Linked DNA regions of Coturnix japonica. The protein of the gene in region 1 binds, or shares a complex with, the protein of each later gene. Links are inferred from orthologs where the notes say so. Each region holds a gene or a part of one and is shown on either strand. Other genes may lie near its edges. The genes, in order: GINS4 and MCM3.

Region 1 (6,878 bases):
TTCTGACCGATCCCATTGAAAGAGGACTAAGAGTTGTATCCTTGTGTGGTTTCTAAGATTATTTCTTAATTCTTTAATAATATGGTATCCTCTAGTCATGCTTGATCTGTGATACTGCGAAATACATGATCAGTCTTGTTACTCTCAGGTATGTGCTGTTCTTTGAGCAGATAAGTTTATTTCTGCCCTGTTGTGGAGCTTTTGCTGAGATTTAGGAGGAGATGGCAAGGTTCACAAGCTCTTTGTATGCAGCATCTTGTGTTCTTGTTGTCAGAACAATCCTGAGCTGCCATAGGTCGATCTGATCTGACAAGGCAGGTGAGCTGTTGTGTTTGTTTTGTAGCTCTTGAGTAAGCAGCTATGAAGCAGAAAGATCAAAAGTTCTAATATCATAATGATTTTTTCACTTTCATTTTTGTAAACTTCTTATAGTATATTTTCCTAACAGCCTTTCTACACAGATTGAAATTACCATTTATGAAGACAGAGGCATGAGCAGTGGAAGATAAAACTGTGGAGTCTCAGGTACATATCAGCATTACAGTAGATGCCAATCTCAGCTTCCTTTATGGTGCTCAGAGTGGTAGACTCTTCTGCTGAAACAGAATGTTTATCCAGCTACTGCATGTCATCAATGACTTTTTACTTAAGTCTTGTGTGGTGTAGGTTTTCTGAATGTGTGGTTAATTTCATGCTACTCTCAGTTCAAACAATAACAGATTTGACTTAAACAGTCAAGATTGGAATTTGGTAAAATATACATAAACTGAACTTGCACTGTATCAAGCCCAGAATGGCTTTCTGTATTTGAAGAGTCTTGATTTTTCACAAAGCTTTTCTGGCATAAGTCTCTACCCTTTCTGAGAAGTAATACTTCCTAATTGATGGTGCTTTACTGTTCTTCCTATTATGCTGTGAAAGATGCAGCTTTTCTTGAATGTTTTTAGAGGTACCTAAAAGCTTTTGTGTTTAAAGCATCTATGAAAAGGTCATAACCCATGTTAAGAATCACCTTGTATTTTGCCTGGCAATCAGTTCTAACATGTAACTTCTTTTCTAGCAGACAGCTCAACAGTGGACTTGCTGTATCAGTTCCCCTACCTCCTACTTTAGAGCATCATTCCTCTTTCTGCTGCCAGATCCACAGTGCCATTTTCTACAGGGACTGACTTCCTAAAACTACTCCACGTGGTGTGACCCAGCTGGTCAGCATTCATTTTGTGGCGAATTATTGAGCCTTGAGATCACTTTTAAGTTCCTAAAGGAAACGCAGAAGTGGTGAAGCTGCATATTCTTCTGACAGAACCGCATTAACCCAACAGAAGTTGGCTCTAGTCATGTAAATGTGGTGCCGTTCCTCCCCACTTCTTAAATCTTTCTGATTGGGCTTTGGAAACCTACAAGTCAGAGTGGAATTTTCCAGAAGAAAGGCTTTCCCTCGAGGTCAGTATTGCAGTGAGGGGATACGCAGTGCCTCTTCCCAGTGCAAAATGACTCAAGGCAATGAGCGTTGGAAGCGTCCTGTACTGATTCTTATGGAAAAACTAGAAGGCAAAAAATGTTTCTCGTTTTAATGTTTTGGTTATTCCTAGAAGAGAGGGACTTTATTCCTGGTGTTTTTTCTACTGCTGTGTATGTGCTGTTGTATGTCAGTGCTGAGCAGAAGAGGGAGAGTCTATAAAACAGGAAGTACAATAAAATGGATGCTGAACCAATAAACATAACTCTTCCCCTTCTCTGATTAATACGTGAAGTGTAAAACTGTTTCTTTATGAATTTATTATAACTTATAGGAAAACACTGATTCGACAGAGCTGTTGTGTGGGATGGTCTCATCACTCTTTGCCTGCTGGCGCACTATTGAGCTGTGTGTTATTTCCTCTCTTTTTGCATTGACATTCCTCAGCAATACCTAAAGCACGTTCCTAGGAACCAGGTTTGGGTTCATTCTTTTCTCTTTGCTCTTCTCAAGGAAAAATATGTTCAGAATTGAGCCATGATCCAATTATAGAAGGAATTCAAGAGCTTAGGAATAATATAGGAGAGATGGAGTGTTTTGGCTTTTGGTGGTGCTGTAGGTGCTACTGCGTCTGAAATTCCAGCCTTGTTCCTCAGCCAGTAACTTCTGTTTTGTGGGGTTTTTTGTTTTAATTTAATATTCTAACTGTATAAAACTTGTTTTCTAAGCTGTGGTTGCCTTTCATGTTTGTTGCGATACTGGCAGAAGTACTAATGGATCAGTAAATTTTTTCTTAAACCGTGTCTGTGGCCTGTTCAGTCGCGCTGTTTTGAGGTGTTTTGATGCTAAAAGCACATCCACAAGGCCTAGCAGGGCCGCACTGCTGCACCCCCTACGGCCGCCATTTTGTCATGGCTTGCGCCTGCGCTAGTGCAGAACATCCGGGTCGCGCTGTGCGCCTGCGCAGTGGAGCGGCGGCTTGTTGTAATGGCGGCGGCGGGCGGTGAGGAGCCGGACTCGGACGATGGCAGCGAGGAGCTGGTTCTTACCCCACTGCAGCTCATCCGCAGCCTGGAGCAGGTAGAGCGGGACAGGGATGAGCCCCGAGGGGACTTTTAGACCATCGGCAGCTGGAGCTGTCCGAGGAAGGAGCGGGGAGGATGACGGTCAGGCCTGTGGGCCCGCTGGGCGGGAAGGGGCGATGTGGGGACGGGGTCCCGGTGGTCGGTAGGAACTGTGTGGGCCTTTATCACATCGTGCTTCCTCCTAGGCCTGGATGAACGAGAAGTTTGCCCCCGAGCTGCTGGAGAGCAAACCGGAGATCATTGAGTGCGTGGTGGAGCAGCTGGACCACATGGTGTGTGCTATGGAGGGGGTGCTCTTCTGACTATTTACAATGCTTGTTTGCTGAGCATAGCGTTGGGAAATTCACTTTTTATTTCCCTTGTGAGCTAATCGGGCTTCTTGCTCTCTATTTTTATTGTTTGCTGTTTCAGCCTTTTCAGTTTTCTTTGCCTTTCTTTGCAGGAGGCAAACTTAAAACGGGCAAAGAAAGGAGACCTGAAGGTCAGCATCCACCGCATGGAGATTGAAAGGATCCGTTATGTGCTCAGTAGTTACTTGAGGTGTCGACTTGTGAAGGTAAATACTGTACAGAGCATAGGGAAGCTTTACTTCAGGAGTGATTCCTGTTTTATTATCTACTGCTTTAGCAAGGCACTTTGTTAAAGATCCCCTATCTCACTATCTACAGTGCAACCAAAAGGATTTCATCCCCTGGGCGTGCTTTTCTGTTGTGGAGAATCACAGTATTGCTGTGATGTTCTGTTATAATGGCACGTTTTTTTTTATCTAAGCCAAGGTGCATGATCCTCCTGGGTCCTGTCACATGCACCCATGCAGCTTTAAGACCCCATCTGACTGTATTGTTACTAAGTCAGAAGCAGGTAATTTGGGTAGGCTTGTGTTTACTGCATACACCTGTTCAGGAGAGGATCACTTGTAAGGGTAGTCTCTGGGGGATTTTAGGTACTGAACTACTGGAAAGTTGGGTTTTAATCTTTTTTTTTAATCTCATTTTTCTTCCAATGACAGATAGAGAAGTTTTTCCCACATGTGCTGGAGAAGGAGAAATCTCGAGCCAGAGGGGAGCCTTCCATTCTATCACCAGAGGAGTTTGCCTTTGCTAAGGAGTGAGTGGGCTTTCAGTGCATCTCCCTCCCTTTGCATGGGGTACAGAACTGAACAGCTCTTAAGCGTTAGACAAAGTTGCAGTAAGATTCAGGTGTTCAACGTTCCTTATGGACATGGAGGGGAGTGTAAAGGTGGTAACAGAGGATGGTTTAAAGGTGGCTAATATAAAGATATTGACCAAGATGGTGATAAATAGTCAAAGGTTATTAGTAAAGAAAACTCACCAATGTCGATGCCTGGACCAGATAGCTGAGGCAGACTCCACTGGGGAGCAATCTCCAAGAGATGCTGCCTCAGAGGTGGTCAGCCCTTAAATGAGGTCTCAGAGGGGGTGGAGTCGAAGTCCACCCCTTCCAGGAGCACAGCTCCATTACTCTCACCTGTGCTCCCGCAGCTGACCCAACACTTGCCTCAGCTAATTAATCAGTGGTTCAAGCTGTGATTTCCCATACAAGAGAGCTAAAATGAAACAGTTCTTGTGAGTCTGTGGTATACTTAGCATCTGAGCCAGTTATTTCTGTGGGTTGTTTGTAACTGGATGACCAGGAGGTGTCACCTGTTGGCACTTTTGAGCAAATGCTCTCCAGGCAAATTTGTGTTTGACTTAATCAGTAAATGCTCCAATGTTGGGGGGGTTTGGTGTTTTTTTTTCCCTTCAGGTACATGGCAAACACCGAGACTTATCTGAAGAATGTGGCCCTAAAGCACATGCCACCCAATCTGCAGAAAGTGGCTCTCTTAAAATCAGGTGAGTACAGACAGACTACAGGCAGTCTGGAAAATTATTGCAAATGAGGTATGGAGAAAGCTCTGAGCTCACGCTAGCCACCTCCATCTGCTTTTTTCTTAAGCTGGGGCAATGCAGACTACCTCTGTTATTCCCTTTGTTGGCAATGCATTTGTTGCCCCTAGTACTCCTTTCTTCACTGAGCATTCTGCAGAGGAACATGAGTGAGTGCTGAGTCTGTACTCCAAATCTGTTGTATCTGCAGTCCCGAAACCCAACCTGGACTCTTTTGTGTTCTTGAGAGTGCTGAAGAGACAGGAGAACATCCTGGTTGAGCCAGAGACTGATGAGCAGAGGTAGGTGGTCCTTCCACACCCAGTGCATTTGAACAAGACTTGTTTCCCAGAAGCAGCTTAACACCCTGCACCTGCCTCTTTCAGAGAGTACACCATTGATCTGGAGGAGGGCTCACAGCACCTGATCCGCTACAAGACCATTGCCCCACTGGTGGCCTCAGGAGCAGTGCAGCTCATCTGAACAAGTGGTGAGCACTGAGGTGGGGCTGTGCTGCCTCCTGGGTATGGCCCAGGCCCAGCTGGAAGGTGGCAATGAAGGAGTCTGGGCTGGGTGCCCCACAGGGTGTGGCTTGGAGAGGACTGGCTAAGGGTAGCAGCAGGGCTGGGAGGTGCATCTCTGAAGGCATTCAAAGCATTCAAGTAAGCCAACAAGACATCTTTCCCTCTGCATTTGCAAGGGGCTTATTCCCCTCCTTCCCCCCCACATAAACAAGCTCTTGCTTGCTTATGACACACATTTGGAATTCAGCCAGGCTCTTTTCTCCCACTGTTGCAGAGTGAGGGCAGTCTGTGTCATAGCACTCACTCACAGGGCTTTGGCTGAGCCCTTCCATAGTCTCTTTGGAATCCCAAGGGATGGATGAGCATAGGCAGCATTTCACGATATCTCAGAGTGGTTTGACAGCAGACACGTACAGAGCACATATATCTTCAGAGGTGAATAATGCCTTTGTAAATGCAAGGGTGCACTTTTTTAAGGTGCACCTTACATGTATGTGTTCATTCTTGCCCCAGTTTAGCACTGTAAGATTAGGCTATAAGGTGAAAATTGGCTGATGGAACAGTGTGGTAACTTGTTGGGTAAACTCCACCTTTCCCCATCAGCTTTGATCTCATCACAGCCTGTGCAACTTTGGGTGTTGTGCAAGTGCCCAATTGCTCTGAGCTGAACTGGAGGGATACTTCTGCACCACCTTTGCCACATGATCCATTGAGCAAAAACACACATGAAGGCATTTGCTGGCAGAGCAAATCTTGATTATCACACAAGGAGCAGGAAGGATTGGGAGCAAATTAAGGATGGAAACTACAACTCAGAACAAAGAGAATGTCGTAAGCAAGCAGGGGAGAGCCCTAGGATCATGTGAGAGATGCTTAACTCCAGCTTGTTAGCAGCAGCAGGAAGGGAGGTTGGAGAGTTTACCAAGTTTATCTCTGTCTTTCTCAAGGTATTGCCTGGAAAATGGCCATGAGCTTAGGAATTCAGATTGTCTGCTCTGAAGGATAGTTACACAGGCCAAACAGCAAGTCTCTTTTTCCTTGGAATGTCCCAAGGCAGAATTTACCTTGCAGATGGAATAAACTTTGTTCTGCCTGTGCAGTGTCTTTCCCAGTGTGGACACAGTTGTCCACAGCACCTTCTGACTTATCTAGAGAGAAGTTACAATGATGTTTTCTTTTTTTTTTCTGGTGTTCTGGCATTAGTAGCACTGTCCTCATAAAATTATATCTCAGATTTACCTGCAGTGTAGGGCTGGATTTGGAATTGCTTTCCTTTGTGCTGATAGTGGCTTTTCTTGCATGGTCCAAAGAGTGGGTGCCTACAGGAGCCTTGGGCATCTGTGTTTTCCCTGATCAGGCTGTGATTTGTACAGTTGTGGTGGAAGCTTTGGAAATGTCAAACAGCATTTTTAATTTTGTCACAATCCTTCTTAACTGAACAACCGATTCACACTTAGTAGGTCTTGAAAATGCCCATGTACAATTTGTATTTCATTCCACTGTTTTGTTACATGCACAAGCTTTGTATTGAAACCAAAATCAGCAGATTCTTCACTGATTTAAATGCTGCCATTTCACCTTTTGAAATTCTTGGATGTTGATCAACTCCAGTGAGGGGAATTGAAAGGCCTTCCTTCTTTTCTGGCCTTTTCTGACCCCCTTCTTTGGGCTGTCAGATTTCAGGGAGATTACAACACAGTTACAGCTAATCCTCAGGCTTGAGGCTGCCTTTGTCGGTGAACTCCAGGGCAAATGGGGCCCTTGATGCAGGATGGTCTGCATGATCAGCAGCTGAGGACTAGAAGAGCTCTAAGGAATACCGTAAGCTTGTGGTGCTTTCATGTTGCTTGGAATGGTAACAGTATGAGTTCAGCAGGCTTTCCCAAAACAGTCTCTTGCTGCAGGGTGAGAACAGGAATGG
Region 2 (6,878 bases), on another chromosome or scaffold:
AAAGGGACCCTTCAAGGCCACTGTCTGCACTGAGCAGGGACACCCACAGCTCCATCAGTGCTCAGATCCCATCCAGCCTGACCCTGGCTGTCTGCAGGGATGAGGCACCACCACCTCTCTGTGCAACCTGTGCCAGTGCCTCACCATCCTTATTATTGACAGCTTCTTCCTTATATCTTCACCTCAACTGATCCCAGCACAATGCTGCAAAACCCTCCAGGAAGGTGCATGGGTACCAAAAGCAGTGCTGGGGCTCATGAGGACAAAATGCAGGGCTCCCAGAGTTCCCCAAATGACGGAGGAGACAGACAAACACTTATGCTGACACCAGGACATCAGAAACTGAAAAACCACTTGGACATAGCCCGGATTGCACAAAGAGAGACTGCACCCTTGAGCAGAGCTAAGGGAAGAGCCCATCCAGCCTGACCTTGGCTGCCTGCAGGGACGGAGCACCACCACCTCACTGTGCAACCTGCACTTCGCTTCTCTCCTTTCCCATCTCCAACCATCCCACAGCACCCACCAACCGAGCTACACCTCCACCCTACAGCGCACAATAAAACCACCTGCAGCCTCCATGCAAAGCGAGATGCTCACGTAGGAAAAACCCAACACCCACCCACAGCAAACAGCCCCAGGGGAGCAAAACCCCCAAACCATCACCATGGACACACAAACTGAACCCGGAGCGGTTCTCCTCGCTGTCCCCTCTCCCTGTCCCCGCAGCCGCCCGCACTCACCGCACCGCACCGCCGTGTCCCGCAGCCACCGCCTCCAGGCACCGAGCGCATGCGCTCAGCCCCGCCCCGGGCTGCCCCACCGGCCGGATCTCGGGTTGATCAGCGGCTGTTCCGTCTCCTTCTGGTCTTACAAATGCTTTGCAACCGAAGCTTTGTGGGCATCGCTTTGTTTGCTCGCCCCCTGACCTGCTACGTGCCTCCCCAGATGCTCTGATCTGTTAAGCTCGGGGTACTTTACACCCTGAAATGAATCACCCGCTTTATTCCCTCCCAGGTGTGGTTGTGTTTGCTCCGGAGATTGATCCCAACAGGTTCCGACTCAGCTGGGCAGGGTTGGGCTCTCCCTGCCTGTCCCCCACCCCAAAAACAGGGGTAAAATGGATGAGAATTGCCTATTATAGGGGTAGGGGGGATGTGTTGGAAGGGCCCCTTTAAGGCCATCAGTCCCACTGCACAGGGACACCCACAGCTCCAGCAGTGCTCACAGCCCATCCAGCCTGACCTTGGCTGTGTGCAGGGATGGGGCACCACCCCTGGGCTGCTGGTTGGTGACCCTACACACAGCATTGGGTTAAAACCAGATGGTGATTGTGGTCCTTTCCAACCCAGGCCATCGTATGGCTGGGTCCTGTGACTGAGGGGTCACTCATGGTAAGTGGGATCCCATCCCTAATGGGTGCAGATCAGCAGTGCTTTGTATGCAGATGGGTGATAGCCAGGCTCGTAGCAGGGGAGAAAACCAGGAATAAAAGGAGCCAGCTGTCACTGCCTTTAGTAACAACCAGAATTCACGATAACAGATGAGCAGACAGAAATAGCAACGCGAAACCTCCAGCCATCTATATTTGGGCTATTCAGACCTCCTTGGAAACACAGTATTATTCATTGCTTTATTTTGCTTTCGCATGACAGGAGAAGGGAGCGACTCAGCATCATGTTGGCACTGGGGGAGCTGAGCATCGGGTGCAGGACCATAGGAAGACACTGCAGCCCTTGCTCTACATGCATTCAGGTGCCTGATTCCTGTTTAATGTTACCCCTGTAAGGTCCCCATAGGAAGAGCTGCCTCCATCCTCGGCCTTCCCCGACCTGTAGCAATGAATTATTCACTCGGCGTTCTCCGTGCCGAGGCTGTTGCTATAGGGCAGGCTCATGAATAACAACAGGCGCTTATTTTTAGCCCTAACTCGTTACCGTGCTGCTGCCCTTGGTTCACAGCCATACCTTCAGCGGGACGAACCCCGCAACGCCGCTATGGGCTGGGGCTCCCTTTGGATTTACACACAGCACTTCCTTCCCAGTTTATGGGATGGCATATATGGCCACCTACGTTCTCCTTGCTAAGATCCCCTTAGAAAAGACATCCGTTACCCCATAGGGAGTCTCCGCTTTGCTATCTGCAGCTACAAGGTGGGGGGGGGGAGGGCAGGGGAGATGCTTGAACCTGGAACGGGGTGTTACCCCAGTGATAATAAGGAATCAGCAATAAATACACTAATTTAGATCCTCATCCCGCTGCTGACACCCAAAGCTCAGCCGGGACCCCAGACCCCAAACGCCCCATTCCCGCCCCCGCCCCGCCTCCTCCGCTCCCATTGGCTGCCGCTGCTGCGCGTCAACTCCCGCCACTTCCCCTTTGCCTCCCATTGGCTGACGCCCGGCGGCGCCGCCCAATGAGGAGCGGAACTCCCCCCGCCGTGGCGGGAAAGCGCTCGGTTTTGGCGCCAAAGAGAAGCGTGGAGGTTGCTGTGATCCGGGCCGGCGTTTGGGGTCTGCTGGGGATCTATAGGATCTATAGGACCCTTTAAAGAGCAACCCGGTCCTTACCTGTTTACTACCCCCTCCCTGCAGCATGGCAGCCCCAGCGGACGGGCTGGACGATGCGGAGCTGCGGGAAGCGCAGCGCGATTACCTGGATTTCCTGGACGATGAGGTGAGCAGCGGCGTGTATTGCGGGATGCAGCCTCCCCTTATAACCGGGGGTGGTCATCGCTTCCCCCCCAAACCCCCCAACAGGAGCCATGGCGCTGGGGCTGCTTATTCCCCAGGGAATAAATGGAAATGGCTTTACACGGCTCATGTGAAACTGAGGGTTGTGTTGTTACCTATGTGTGCAGGAAGATCAAGGAGTTTACCACGGCAAAGTGCGCGACATGATCAGCGACAACCAGTACCGCCTCCTGGTCAACATCAACGACCTGCGGAGGAGGAACGAGAAAAGAGCCAGCCGGTACGGGGGGGGGGGGGGGGGGGTGCTGTTGTGCCAGCCAGCCAGCCCTTACGAGCTTGCAGCCCATTGATAGAGCAAATCCTGTTTGTTTGAATCCTTACAGTAAAATTCGGGTGTTTGCATGGTGTGAGGCGTCTCAGCTTTAGGGTTCTGGGGTCTTTTTGCAAGAGACTTGCAAATGGTTTAAGTACAAGTTGAGATGTGACAGCTGCGAGTTGGAGGTCTGGGTTGGATATTAGGAACAATCTCTTGTCATGAGGAGCAGTGATGCAGTGGCACAGCTGCCCAGGGAGGTGGTTATGGAGCACCCCCATGGATGGTGACCCCACCATGGGGATGTGGCACTGAAGGACACAGTGGGCACAGGGGGGTTGGGCTGGGTGACTGTAGAGGTATTTCCAACCTTAATGATCCCCTGTTAGGTGTTTCAGATGTAATTGGGTTTGTTCACCTTCAGGCTCTTGGTCTCCATGAGCTGTGGGATTCTCAGTGTTCTTTCAGAGCACACCGAGGCATCTGGAAGGGATTTCTTAGAGCTGCCAAACAGGGTTGCCAACAAGATGCAGCTCTCAGCCATCACCTCCCTCTGTTGCAGGCTTTTGAGCAATGCCTTTGAGGAGCTCATCGCCTTCCAGCGTGCTCTGAAGGACTTTGTTGCCTCTGTTGATGCCACCTATGCCAAGCAGTATGAGGACTTCTACATTGGGCTGGAGGGCAGCTTTGGTTCCAAGCACGTCTCACCACGGACGCTGACCGCCTGCTTCCTGAGCTGCATTGTTTGTGTGGAGGGCATCGTGACAAAGTGTGAGCCTGGGGGCAGGTTGGGATGCTGGGTGGTGTGAGGAGCAGAGGGTCGGGGTGTTTGGTACAGCAGGAGTCCTCCAGAACCAATGGGAGGACAAGTGGAGTGATGGTAACAGTGGACTTGAATGTTGGGAGCTGCAGTCCTTGGCACTCTGGTTATCAGCACTTTTGTCCTGTGCATATAGTGGATATCTTTTTGGGGTTTCATGGTGACAAACAAGTGGGACTTTTCTGCCCCTAACTCTTCTTTCTTCCAAACCCAGGCTCTCTGATTCGTCCCAAGGTTGTCCGGAGCGTCCATTATTGCCCAGCTACCAAGAAGACCATTGAGCGCCGATACACAGACCTGACATCCCTGGATGCTTTCCCTTCCAGCTCTGTTTACCCTACAAAGGTGAGGTGAAGCGGCCTCATATGGGGAATATCTGCATGTTCCTCTGGGGAGAATATGCTGGCTCAGCAGGCAACATGATCAGCTGTTGGTTGGCATGCTTGTATGTGGCAAGGGGATTGAAACTAGATTGTCTTTAGGGTTTCTTCCAATGCAAACCATTCCAGCATCCCATGGTTGCTGTCTGGAGGGTATGTGGACCATTGTGTGCAGGGATTGCCCTGTGCTTGGGAATGGAGGAAGCTTGACCTAAGCTATGTCTGTTGAACGTGCATTCTTTTGCATGGCCTGCCTGCATTGGGAGCAGTGCTTGGAGGGTTCTAATGTGGCAGTGCTTGATGCTGGCAGCATTAGATCAGGGGGAGCTGTATTGCTGGTGAACTGCAGGATCTGGTAGTCCAGGTAAAGCAGCCCTTTGCAGTGCTCATGTGTGTGTTGGGTGATGCTCTCTTCCCAGTGCTGCTAATCTCTTTATTGCTGTGCCTTCTTCCTTAAGGATGAGGAGAATAACCCCCTGGAGACAGAGTTTGGCCTCTCAGTCTACAAGGACCATCAGACCATCTCCATCCAGGAGATGCCTGAGAAGGCACCAGCAGGGCAGCTGCCACGCTCGGTGGATGTCATTCTGGATGATGATCTGGTGGACAAAGTGAAGCCTGGAGATCGCATTCAAGTGGTTGGGACTTATCGTTGCCTGCCAGGAAAGAAAGGAGGTTACACATCAGGGACGTTCAGGTGAGCCTTCTGCTGGCTTCAAGGACAACATCAGCCTTGACACCCCTTTTTAGCAGGGTCCCATCCCTCTAAGATGAAACATAGGGCAGGTTGGATGGGGCTGTGAGCAACCTGGTCTCGAGGGAGGTGCCCCTGCATATAGCAGGAGGTTGAAACTGGGTGATCTTAAAGATCCCTTCCAACACAAACCATTCTATGGTTCTATGAAACTTCTGCTGTTGTTATGATGACCCTGAAAGCTCTATGAGCTTCACAAACATCATTGTAGCTGTGTCGCTATTCCAGGACTATCCTCATTGCCTGCCATATCAAGCAGATGAGCAAAGATTCTCGGCCTCTCTACTCTGCGACTGACGTGGCCAAGATCAAGAGGTTCAGTAAGAATCGCTCCAAGGTATTTATGTAGGTCTTATTTCTAAGCTCGCCTTCCATGATTTTCCTCTTGCTTTCCCTGCATTTTCTACGTAGCTTTTTGTCAATTTCTGTGATATATGTATGTATACATATGTATTACATGTAGCTGTAGCAGAGTTTCTGATGGCTCTGCTCTGTTGTGCGTAGCTGTTGAAATGGAGCTCTGTCTGGGCTGTGTGTGCCCTGACTGCTCGCTGGTTGTTAGAGAAGCTCCTCTGCAACGTTCTACTTTTCCTCCTCAAACCTAAGAACGGAATTAGATGACAGCCTGGATTTCTGAAAGGAAACAAAGCAAAATGCCAGTTCTTTTGGTTGGGGGAGGGAATGGGGGCCTGCCCCCCAGTCTGGTCCTGTGTTCAGATCTTTGTTCTTGTGGGGGTTGCTGCTTCCAGTGCTTGCGAGGTGGTCTAGGACTTCAGAGCCCCCATGGAAAGAATATTCCAACAGTATTCTCCCATCTAAATAACCTCTGTCAGTGTAGTTCTGTGATAGGAATAAGTTCCTTTTCTGGTGCTGTAATGGGCTTGTGAACTTGTTCTTCGGTCCACTTACAGGCTGTGCTTTGCCTCTTCTGCCTTAGGATATCTTTAACCAGCTGGCGAGGTCCCTGGCACCCAGCATCCACGGGCACGAGTTCATCAAGAAGGCCATTCTGTGCATGCTTCTTGGAGGGGTGGAGAAGGTCCTGGAGAATGGGAGCCGCATCCGAGGAGACATCAACATCTTGCTGATAGGTGTGGAGAGGCAGAGCAGAGGCAGCTGAGGCTGATGCTGTGGGAGTGAGATGAGGCTGTTCAAACAGAACTTCCCATGATCCATGTCACCTCTTCTCCCATCACTATACGTATCTTAAAACCCTGGCTCCATCTTCTCCCCATCAGGATGATGGAGAACGTGATCCACTCACCTTCTGCTCTGAAGAATGAACGACCCAATTCGTTGTCACGTGTATTCATTTCCCTGCTAACACTGTGTTTGCTAAACACATTCTTCTCTCTTCCAGGTGACCCTTCCGTTGCCAAATCCCAGCTGCTGCGCTATGTGCTGAGCACTGCTCCCCGTGCCATTGGCACTACTGGCAGGGGCTCCTCTGGTGTTGGTCTGACTGCTGCTGTCACCACTGACCAAGAAACCGGTAAGGAATGTTCTGGTTCCCAGTGGGAGCTGGTGGACGGATGGTAGTTAATCCTTGGGATGGACTCTGCAAGGTCCGGGCCTGTTTGTCCTTCTTGTAGAGGCAATTACAGGACCTGCTTTGTTACAAGCTTTGAAGCAATGATGGTGGGGGTGTTTTCTCTATCTTTGGTGGTCTTTAGTTCTACTGGGTGTACCCCATATGGGGTTGGTGGGCAGTCAGGAGCCCATGTCATTTCTTCTTCTTCAGTGTTCTCCTGCCATTACATTGGGTGAGAGATCATATAATCATAGAATGAATCATAGAATGGCCTGGGTTGCAAAGGCCCACAGTGCTCATCCAGTTCCAACCCCCTGCTGTGTGCAGGGTCACCAACCAGCAGCCCAGGCTGCCCAGAGCCACATCCAGCCTGGCCTTGAATGCCTG

Evidence for each region.
Region 2: GINS4 (region 1) and MCM3 share a complex: the UniProt entries of both Homo sapiens proteins name them as parts of the CMG helicase complex. The link is inferred for Coturnix japonica from reciprocal best matches to the Homo sapiens genes GINS4 and MCM3.

Annotation. Positions count from the first base shown.
Region 1 is NC_029537.1:3,956,501-3,963,378, forward strand, and holds the start of GINS4 (DNA replication complex GINS protein SLD5), read left to right. Parts: upstream 1-2,402; 5' UTR 2,403-2,446; coding exon 2,447-2,539; intron 2,540-2,729; coding exon 2,730-2,816; intron 2,817-2,986; coding exon 2,987-3,100; intron 3,101-3,553; coding exon 3,554-3,651; intron 3,652-4,311; coding exon 4,312-4,400; intron 4,401-4,644; coding exon 4,645-4,735; intron 4,736-4,819; coding exon 4,820-4,916; 3' UTR 4,917-4,923; intron 4,924-5,904; exon of another isoform or gene 5,905-6,878. Other genes in the region: GOLGA7 (golgin subfamily A member 7), read left to right, coding at 1-35, 462-509. UniProt on the Homo sapiens protein: Required for correct functioning of the GINS complex, a complex that plays an essential role in the initiation of DNA replication, and progression of DNA replication forks.
Region 2 is NC_029518.1:98,089,626-98,096,503, forward strand, and holds the start of MCM3 (DNA replication licensing factor MCM3), read left to right. Parts: upstream 1-2,412; 5' UTR 2,413-2,595; coding exon 2,596-2,676; intron 2,677-2,860; coding exon 2,861-2,973; intron 2,974-3,568; coding exon 3,569-3,777; intron 3,778-4,040; coding exon 4,041-4,171; intron 4,172-4,664; coding exon 4,665-4,903; intron 4,904-5,188; coding exon 5,189-5,297; intron 5,298-5,897; coding exon 5,898-6,051; intron 6,052-6,320; coding exon 6,321-6,452; intron 6,453-6,878. UniProt on the Homo sapiens protein: Acts as a component of the MCM2-7 complex (MCM complex) which is the replicative helicase essential for 'once per cell cycle' DNA replication initiation and elongation in eukaryotic cells.